Linked DNA regions of Drosophila melanogaster. The protein of the gene in region 1 interacts with the protein of each later gene in a pairwise test. Each region holds a gene or a part of one and is shown on either strand. Other genes may lie near its edges.

Region 1 (4,993 bases):
TTTGGCATAGGTGGCAGTGGTGGTGGTGGTGGTAGCGGTACCCAGCAACAGCAACATGTGCGACCAGTGCCGCTGCAACAGCAGCAAGTGCAACAGATAGCGCAGCAACACCCGCAACAGCAACATCTTGTGGGCGGTCAGCCGACCACATTCCGAGCTGTCTCCGAAAATGATCTTTATCTCTTGGGAGCCATTGAAAAGTTGGTGTATCGAGTGGGTAAGTTGAAGTCACACCTAGGAGTTCTTGGTCTAAGTAAAAGCAAACACCCATAGATTACCTGGAGAGTCGCGTGCGGCGCTCGGAGCAGCTGATCTACTATCTGATGGCCGGAAACAATCAGAAGGAGGTGAAGGATCCCTGTCCCGCGAACTTCACGCGCATCAGCGACAACTGCTACTACATCAACAGCCAGCAGCAGGTGAACTGGAAGACGGCAAACTCTGCCTGCAAGGGTCTAAACTCCCACCTGGCCGAGTTCGAGAAGGTCTCGGAGAATGAGGAGATCATGGCCTATCTGCTGAATCAGCCGACGCATCGTGGTCGCGATTACTGGCTGGGCGGTCTCAATCCTGGCCTCCTCTGGATCTGGTCCAATTCGGCTAAGCCGGTGAATCCCAACATGAATCTCACATCCATTGCGATGGCCCAGAAGGGGGAGAACTCGACGGCCGCCAATCTGGTGGACAGTTCGGAGCAGGCGGCAGAGGAGGCGACCGGCGAGGATGTGCTGAACAACACGGTGCAAATAGAGGGCAAGGGTCGCTGCCTACGGCTAAGTTACAATGCCGGAAAGCACAGCTATGTGTACTACGGACAGGAGTGCACCTCGCGGCACTACTACATCTGCGAGCACGAGGACAAGACGCTGGACAACAAGATCAAGAAGATCACCCGCGAGCTGAAGCTGTTCGAGTGAGGATGGGATGCAACCCATTCCGATCCTCATGTGATACTTCAAGTTACCTAGCCATATATCGCATAATTTCAAATGAATTTATTCTTGTGTTACACATTAAATATTTATAAATATTTATACAATTAATAAACATACCGGATAGTTTTCAAAACGTTTTTAAGGATACTTTGTTCTTGCACAGCGAAGCTTAAAGGATTCTTTTTTTTTCTCCAACGAAAATACAAAAGAGAATATTAAACAAAATCGATACTGGAACTGGGTTCCGTTTGCGTTAAGCGGAAGGTATACACAGAGATCAACGCTAATCCGGATACAGGTAGTCCTGCAGGATGTTCTGGAAGGCTATCTTTATCTTGCCGCGATCACGGCCGTTCAGCTTTTGGATGTCGGGCAGCAGGCTCATCAGAAACATGGCATCCGGATCGGTCTTGCAGTCGCACAGCTCCGCACCGCCGTTGGACACGGATCCGCCGGACGCGTTGTTGGCTTCCAAACGCAGAGGAAGCGCTGACGGCGGCACCTGTGGATGTCCTCCATGCATATGGTTGTGCCCATGCCGTTGACTCAAGTAGCTACTGCTACTGCTGGCACTAACACTACTACTGGGCGCCATCGGGGTGGCCACGGCCGCAGTGGATGGTGTGGGCAGTTCCGCTTCGGATAAGCCAGCAGTTCCTGGAACACCTCCTCCTCCTCCGCCTCCGGCGTGCGTTGTAGTGCTAACCAAATCCACGGGCTTGCTGAAAGTAGGTCGCACAAACGAAATGTTTGGATGGGCAGTCGGCTGTGCGGAGTAGTTGACCCCGGCCACTGCTGCAGTTGGAGCTTGGAGTTCCTGGGAACGCGGACGAATAGCGCCACGCATCTCGTCATGGTAGGTGCGCATTTGGAGGCGACCCGGAAGCATTCGGCTGGCGTGTGAATGCTGGTTGGCATAACGACGCTGGGCCTCCGCCGATGAAGAGCTAGAAGTAGGCGCCATCTTGTGTAGGTCCTGGTCATCCTGTTCATCCTCCTCGGGCTCGTGCGCCTCTTGTTCGTAGTCATCCACCGGCTCCTCGCACTCCGACTTAATGTCGTTGCCGTCCAACTGGCCGTGGTAACGACTGTTGCGCTGCTGCTCCTCCTCCATGATGTCATCCAGCTCGGAGTTGTTGTGTTCCGCCTCGTCAAAGTAGTCCAGATAGTTGTCCAGCTGCTGTGCAGGTGGTGACTGGTGGGCGGAGGGCGTGGGCTGGCCACCAATACTGCTGCTGCCCGGAATGGTCACTGAACGCTCACGCTGCATACGACTAGAAAGGTTCGAGAGGTGTGCCAGGGCGTCCTGCACCTGTGTGTCCAGCGATTTGGGCTGCTGGTGCTTCTTGCGTAGATACGGATGCAGAAAGAACATGCGGTCGAAGTAGGACCAGCAGGGTGGCACCTTTTCCTCCAGATAGTTGGTGTACTCTCGTCGGAACGAGATGCGCAAATTGGTCCACTTGGCCAGACTGGCGCCCGGATTCTTTTCCAGCTTCAAATCCACCTCGCGCCAAAAGTTCTCCACGTACGGGCGGCAAAAGTAGTATTTGTGCCTCGGATTGTAGATGGCCTCGTCGCGCTGCACAATTTCGATTAGTTTAAAGACCTACAGAACAACAGAAATATGTGAATCAAATCATTTTCAAATTGCATATCCATGCAAATACCTCCTCCGTTAGCCAGCGGGATGCACTACAGCTGGTGTTGGGATTGCTGGACACGAACTGGCTGCCCGCGAAGTCGGTCGTCATCATGGGTGGGCTGTGGCTCCAAGGCAGTCGCTCCGATGGATTCAATTTTTGGCTGACTTATCCAGCGTTCGCCATAACTTTTGCGAAATATTTTTATTGTTTTTCCCAAGTGTTCTTTTAAGTGCTGTGAACCAAACAGGCGGCCGAACTGGTTCCGGATCACAGAAGCTTTTGCTGACTATTTTGGTTTATGCGGGTTCCTTAAAAACAATGATCATGCAATATAAAAATTTCCCATATATATATCATCTTGTCTGAATCCGCGTGCTATGCTTAAAAGCTTAACCTGTAAGTGGCAAAAAGCGAAATTCCATGTGTTGCTATTTCTAAACAAACACAAAACACATTATTTAAGTACCACGCAGTGTTTGCCGAATTGTTTCTTTTCTCTTGATATTTGGTACATAGGCGGAATTGAAGCATTTGTGTCAATATTTGCAAATCTAAAAATGAAAGGTATAAAATTGAGCAACTATCCCCGGGAAAATATCACAGTCACAAAAGAGTAATCAAGATGAAGTTCTTCGCCATTCTGTTCCTTCTGTGCGCCATCGTTGGATTCGCTGCATCCTCCACCTCGACAACCACGACGGAAGCCTCCTCTGATACTTCAACCACTTCGGCGGCACCATCCCCAGTTCCGTGCGGAAATGGGCCCCAAGGACCATGTGGCAAGAAACTATACTTTTTCTACTAAGAAACAAATAAAGCACTCTATTCTTTAAAAAATGCATCGAGTTAAAAATCTGAATGAATTTAAACTAGATATATGTACATATTTAAAACTAATTTCACGAGCCACCCTAGAAAAAGTAAACGCAACGCATATTCTAGTATATTTTACCCGACTCAAGTGTATTTTTTGGTGCCCCGAACTTTGGTCACACTTTACCATTTTGGATTTTATTTTCTGTGTTTTTCCAAAATTTACTTCGATTCTGGCTCCAAGCTTTTACGTTTTTTCTGAAAATTGTGCGCATCTCCATGTGAATGCCGCACGGCGCGATAGTAAGTATAAAGCGTGGCTGGTGGGGGCATGTGGCTAAAGGAAACCACAAACACGGCGAAAGCTTGCAACATGAAAAGTCCACATTGTGGCACACATTCGCTCACAAACAATAACAAATTGAACGCAAAGCGAATCATAACAAAAAACGTCGGTTATCAAAGGATATTCAAAATGTGGTAGCTAGTGCGGGCATCCTGAGACCGATTGAAAGGTTTCCAAAGCCAGGCGCAGACTTGGAGGACGTGACCTGCCACAGGATTCGCATTAGAAATCACGCATGCACACTGAAGCGAAAGCAAGGAGCGCAATACTTGGCTAACACCTCGTTTGGCAATCCATTGGGCCTTTCCACATAACTGGCGATCATTTGTTTACGTCGCATCAAGCTTAAGTGCTTGCACACTCGAGTTGCATTGGTTTTGGCGCGCTAATACGTAGCATCTTAATTCACCACTTAATTGCAGGCAATCACTGGAACTTGATGCCCTACCCACAGGCATGGCGGTCAAGGTGCAATTCGAAATTGGCCACACGTCGAAGCTGCGCAGCAAGAAGACACCGCATCCGCAGGCCTTTACGCACGACTGGGAGATCTACGTTCAGGGCGTGAACAAGGCGGACATCAGTGCTTTTGTGGAGAAGGTGGTCTTTGTGCTGCACGAATCCTTTCCGAAACCCAAACGAGGTAAATGCGGCGATATATCATGGGAGTAGTTCAGTCGGATTAACTCTGTTACCCGAATTGTTTATTTGCAGTGGTCAAGGAACCGCCGTATGCCATTCAGGAGTCCGGCTACGCTGGCTTCCTACTGCCTGTTGAGATTTACTTTCGCAACCGAGACGAACCCAAGCGCATTGTTTACCAGTACGACCTGGTACTGCAGTCCACGGGTCCACCGCAGCACCACGTCGAGGTAAAGACGCACATTTTCGAGGCGCCGTCGGAGGAGTTTCGCACGAAACTTATGCGAGGCGGTGGAGTGCCAGTGTTCGGAGCTAACATCGGTGCCGGCAGTCTCGCCCGAACGCTTTCGCCCAGTGTTGGCAGCGGTGAGACAGCGCACAGTAATGAGATGTCTGGTGTCAAAGCCAAAGGCGTACCAGGTACAATATCCATGAACTCGGATTTAAACACCGGCAAGAAACACAAGTCGCGCAGCGAGGATCCCGGAAAGAGCAATGCCTTCTCTGCCCTCTTCGGTCCGCCTATCACGAAGACCAGCGTAACGGCCAACAACATGGCCCAGGTGCCTGTCTCCAAGCACTCTCCGGAGGCTAAAAGTGCTGCCGTTGGC
Region 2 (5,539 bases), on another chromosome or scaffold:
AGAGATAAATGTCAGAAGCTGCCACCCGAGAAAACATGGCCAAAGGATCGTTTGCCATTGGCGAAAAACAGTTCGTATAAACCACTAAAGGTGGTCAACTTGAGCAAAAAGTTTTGCTACAAAATATTGGCCCATTCATTAAACCTTTTAAGCCATTTCATTACATTGCTAGAAATGATTATAAATACCATATAATTGCACGAATTTACTATTATATTACTATTAAGGTTTGCTGTGAATTTTCATAAAGATATATTTAAATTAATAGATAGCTTTGCCACTTCCTTCGGTCTTTAATTATTTGGATTTACTTGGTTTTTATGTATTAATTAAACCTCATCTTTAATTAAATCCAGTTAAGTTATTTAGAAATCACCTCCTTTGTTTTGGTAGTTTTTACTGCCGCCACTTTAGCTACCCGAACTAAAATCCTCAAGCCAAAACTAAACAACAGCCGCTCATGTGTGAGTGCCGTGGAATCCGCAGAGCTGTCAAAATGCCACCATCACCACCACGGCCGTTGCTAATGTCGTTTGCAGTGTTGTTGCCTTCCGGCGAATCCCCAAGACGCCCCACGACCCTGTTGCCCCACCTCTACCACATCGCCCAACCAACCACCCACTCATTGCCATGGCCCACAGCAAATTCTATTTACCAAACTAGTTACCATTAGACGCAGCCAATATCCCACATTATGTGCCAGCTGGAGCTGGAGCAGGAGCAGAAGCCATTGCACATGGTAGCCTATGCCCACAGCGGATTCCCACTACAGCTCCTGGATTCTGAGATCCTTATTCCGCTGTTGTTGCTGCTCCTGCTGCTGCTGCTGCTATTTTTGGCGCGCGATTTTGCCGTGCAATGGCAAATATTTTGCCAATACACCAAGGACTCGCGCTCACGTTGACGATGAGGTGAAACGGAACTGGTGGGCCAGCGGGAAAGGGCTGGATCTGAGGATGACTGGGAATGAGTGGCGAGAGGGGCCAGAAGGAAGGCAACGACAACTTATGGCAGCTGGAATCCTAAGCCTTTCGCCTAGCCATGGGAATTCGCCAGCAGAAGCCGGCATTTTAAAGCATTTTACGCAGACAGTGTCTGCTAAAAATATGCATACCACTCAGAATGCCAGCTGGATGGGAGGGAAGTTGAGAATTGGTAAAGGTTCTTTTGATTAATCAATCGTGGGTCACAAAACTGGAAAATAAACGATGGTGAACGTAAAAACAATTCTATAATCTAAAATCTTTAAATTAATAGAGACATTCCTAATTTATATTAAATAGTTTTTAGCAACAAATAAAATACCTCCTATATACCTTTGTATATAGTTATATTTCTGTAATGGACCAAAATTTGTATAGGTAAGTTACATATTTTTGATAGGTGTTCAAAAAGCTTGATAAAAAAAACAAATCGAAAAATTTCCATATATTTGGGCTCTTATTTTTTGCAATAGATGATGTGGGTATGTTGTTGTTTGATTGTCAATGAAAATAGCTGAGCTTGTGAGCCACCTACATATATGTATGTTCGGCATATACATACATACATATGTATATATAAATCGGGGAATATACCTAGAGATATGTAGTGGTAAACTGGCTGGCAACGCCGTCAACAAATGAAAACTCCCCAGGGAGTTGGCGCATGTTTGTTGCTGTTGCTACCGTTGGATGTTGCTGCTGCCTCGTTGCCCGGCGCTTTTCTCGAGGGGATTGGCCAGAGAGCCGTTGCCGACTCCCCTGAGAAATACATGGCAATGGGTTTTCTGTGTTTTGTGCTTTTTTCGCGCGCCCCTCGCCGGGCACATTGGTGCGACAGAGATGGCTGCAAAAAGAGCAAGCCAAAGTTCGCTTTTTTATACGTTGGGGAAATTTTCATGCCCCAGCATGAGGATATCTCTCTCTGTCTCTCGCTCTCTCTCTCTCCCTCTACCGCCCGTCTCTGTGTGTGTGTGTGTGAGTTAGTTTGTGTGTGCGCCAGTTGTCCTTGGGGGCCTCAGATCCCCCCTCAGCTGGCCACCCACAAAACCACCCACTTACACCCACCAGCCCACCTCCACCTCCACCTCCACATGCACATGTGTGCATTGGATTTATTGTCAATTTTATTTGTTATCATTGTTGTTGCTGCCGCTGCTGCGGCTGCTGCTTCTGCTTTTGCTCTGCTGTTATTTACACTGACACAATTTGGAATTGTATTAAAAATTAACGGCACTTTGGTTGCCTTGGCTTGGCCCGGCCGCAGAACGGAAAATGGAACCGAATCGAAAAACTGCACCGCACTCCCAGCCAGATCACAAAAATAACCAAACGGCAATACTGCGTTTTGGTCAACTAGCTTTTCATGTCCTTCAACATGTTGTCCTTGGGCCAAAATCTATGCCTAACACTTTAGGATATTCTAACTAAAAATGGATTCTTCTTCAATACGCGTAAATGTTATTGAACATAAACTGAACCAATTAACAAGAAAAAATGCAAATTAATCACCAAAGTTGACATCTTAATTAAAATCTCAGAAAGGAAATAATCTATCAAATAATATATGTAAACTTGACTAATTTATTCTTCCAATAATATTTTATTTATCCACAATATTTTTTATTTATATCAACCAAGAAAGCGTATCCCCCATTCGTCATGGAGCCGTTTTTGTTAACCATTTACTTGTTGGTTGACCAGAACACTCAATGTTTCAACCTCATACTGGGTGGGTTTGTTTGGGTTTCGGGGGTCTCTTGGCCCCCAGAGCACCTGCCTCGTCCCCGCCTTGCCCCGACCCCTCCAGCCGACCGCCCAGCCGGGTCCCAACCAGGGCTCCCTCATCCACTATGCCCTCCCCCCCTCCCCCCTCTTTGGTCGCTCTCTATCACTGACAGTTAGGTGTGTTGATCCCTGGGGATTGACCAATGCCTGCAAGCTGCTGGGCTGCAGCCGGTTTGGGTACGGAATGGGATTGGGATGGTACGGCATGGTATGCTCTGGCCGGGAATCGGTAGTCGAAACTGGAGGGCAGGGGAAATGGGCAATAGCCCAACCGGACCGGATTGTGGGCCATAGCAGGCCGAGGCCATTTGCATTTGTCACATTTTGCGGTCCCGCGAGCAAAGTTTGGCAGAGTAATGTTGTGTCCACTCCACCCCTCCCCCCCACCTTTGGGGTTTATCAAAGCAAATCAATCAGATGCACGCACACACAAACAGAGACAAACACACGGAGTACACTCGTAAGCAGTGGGACATGCTGGAACACACTCAGGATATGGAAATGGAGACCATGTCAGTTGGTGGCCACCTGGGGATTCGAGTCCTGCCACTGACCACTGGCGCCCAACTTACGTTTGAGACAGGCGCGCGGCTTGGCCTGTTTGCGTCGGGACATGGCCACGTTGGCTATTTAAATCACTGTTTCCGTTTCCGTTTATAAAGCTGCTTTAGTTTGATTTGACTTGATTTGATTTGATTTGGCTTGAGTGGGCCTAGCTCGCCGTGCGGCTTCCGTTTCGCGCCAAAGCGATTTGTTTTGGTTTTTTGTGTCACAGCCAGCGAGTCCTGGCAAACGCAGCGAATATCCTTGTGCCTTGAGCGTCGGCAACTGACTGAATGCTGGCCCAAAAAAGGTGGCATCAAAACAGAAGCTCTTAAAACAAAATGGTATGTCCACAGCGCAGTCGCGAACAATAAAAGAGCGACAGAGATTGGCAGAGAGAGCAATCAGATGCGGAGAGAGCAGGATGAGGTGGTAGAACAGAGCCACCCAAGAACTCCCAGACATCCAAGCAGTGAACCATCTATCAGTGCTGAACTTATTCCCCTGGGGGTTGCTTCGCTTCCATCCCCTAGAGAATACCGGCGCGGCACCAATCACGAGCGTTTCTGGGTGCCTTTTGAAGAGCCAGGGAACCCGGTAGCCCGGTAGCCCAGCAGCCCGGGAACCCATGCCGACTGCTCACAGTGTGATAGATTCTTCTATTTTGTTGCCCTCCCCGCTCGCCTGTTGCAATTATAAAGTCAAGTCAATTATTTTATAGCCGACTTTCGCACGTGCGTATGGGGGGTCCATCAAAAGGGGCGCGATCTCGAGGCGATTTCGATTCTCCCAAGGTGCCCTGCGAATTGCAGTTTCCACTTGGTTTCTCAGCAGCGGGATAACCAACGCACACCGCTCAGCTCCTTGGTGCACCGTGAGAAACGTGTCCAGAAGCAGAAATTCTAGTGCTTTGGCAGCGGGTGACGACGACATGGGCAATGGATCCTTTGTTGTGCCATCCACTCATCCATATTTCAGGAGTACCACACGCTTGGGATACGAAAGGTGATGTGGTGAGACTCATTAAAGGCAAAGATTGGTATGGAATGAATTAAGGAATGATTTAAAGTTGTGCTAAAGACAAAGTAAGATAAACCAACTGTGAATCCAGAATGTGTTAGAGAATGAATTTAAATTCTGTTTTAGTTAGAGATCAAACTGTGACCTTGAAATCGTTCTTATGTTCTTATGTTATATATTTATATATCTTTTGTTACTTCGCCGTTTGTTGTTTAAAGTATACGTTTTCATATGGGGACTTAACGTTGCACATATTACTAAATTGTTTAGAAAAATTCTTGGAAATTAGTGGTATACATTAAACCTCAAAATTGGAAAATAAAACTTATTTTCCCAAGCGGATTATTTGTTGGCAAATTGTGAGTGCACTCACCACTGGAGTGGTGTTTTTACATATTTTTTTCATTTTTTTTTTACATTACATTTTAAGAACTTGGAAGCATATAAAGGTATATTATTGCACATAGTACAGAAATAGTAAGACAGCTGAACGAATTATATATTTTGATGAAGATGAATTAGTAATACTATTGTATTGGATATAACATTAAAATATATTTAATCGCTTACAACGATATATCTTTTACATATTTCAATATTTATTGGATATTCAGGATTCTAAATAATAGATCTTGTGGATGGTTTTCGCTGAATGCGAACAAAAGAAATTCAATTACTGACCAAAATTATGCTAGACCGATTGAATTCATTTTTCGCCGCCGCAATTCGCCTTGCTTTGAATGTTAGGCGCCACCTACAGTAATTTCTTGAAAACTGTTTGGTAGCGACTGGCGCTGTGACTCCATAGATGTCGCTGGTGTGACACTTAAAGGCAACGGTATGTTTAAAATAAATATATTTCCTCTTAAAGTCAAATTGCATAAGAGATTAAAAAAATTTGATGTACAATTAATAAACAAACAATGGCGTAATAATTGTTTTTAGACGGTACCCTTTAGTTTTGCGTAGTGTAGTTTAGCTTTAATAGTGTTTAATTGCGTAGTCAAAGTCGAAGTAAAATAAATAAGAGCAGTGATTTAAAAATGGGAATACAAAAAACCGAATTTTTTCAAATGCACCAAAACCATTTGTTTAAACATATTGATAGGATCACAATAGAGATCTTGATAATAAATATTTAAATGCTTAACCATAAATCTCCAAAAAAAACTTCGTTATCCCATTCTTATCCTCGATATCTCATCCTG

Evidence for each region. Proteins that work in one complex are often made in the same cells at the same time.
Region 2: the proteins of CG6276 (region 1) and L interact in a two-hybrid assay, tested with the Drosophila melanogaster proteins (one large-scale study listed by BioGRID).

Annotation. Positions count from the first base shown.
Region 1 is NT_033777.3:15,317,222-15,322,214, forward strand, and holds CG6276 (uncharacterized protein), read right to left. Parts: upstream 2,849-4,993; 5' UTR 2,693-2,848; coding exon 2,606-2,692; intron 2,545-2,605; coding exon 1,219-2,544; 3' UTR 982-1,218; downstream 1-981. Other genes in the region: CG14866 (uncharacterized protein), read left to right, coding at 1-217, 274-917; CG44040 (uncharacterized protein), read left to right, coding at 3,204-3,386; ear (ENL/AF9-related), read left to right, coding at 4,197-4,383, 4,455-4,993.
Region 2 is NT_033778.4:14,433,962-14,439,500, reverse strand, and holds the start of L (lobe), read right to left. Parts: upstream 3,603-5,539; 5' UTR 3,384-3,602; coding exon 3,341-3,383; intron 1-3,340.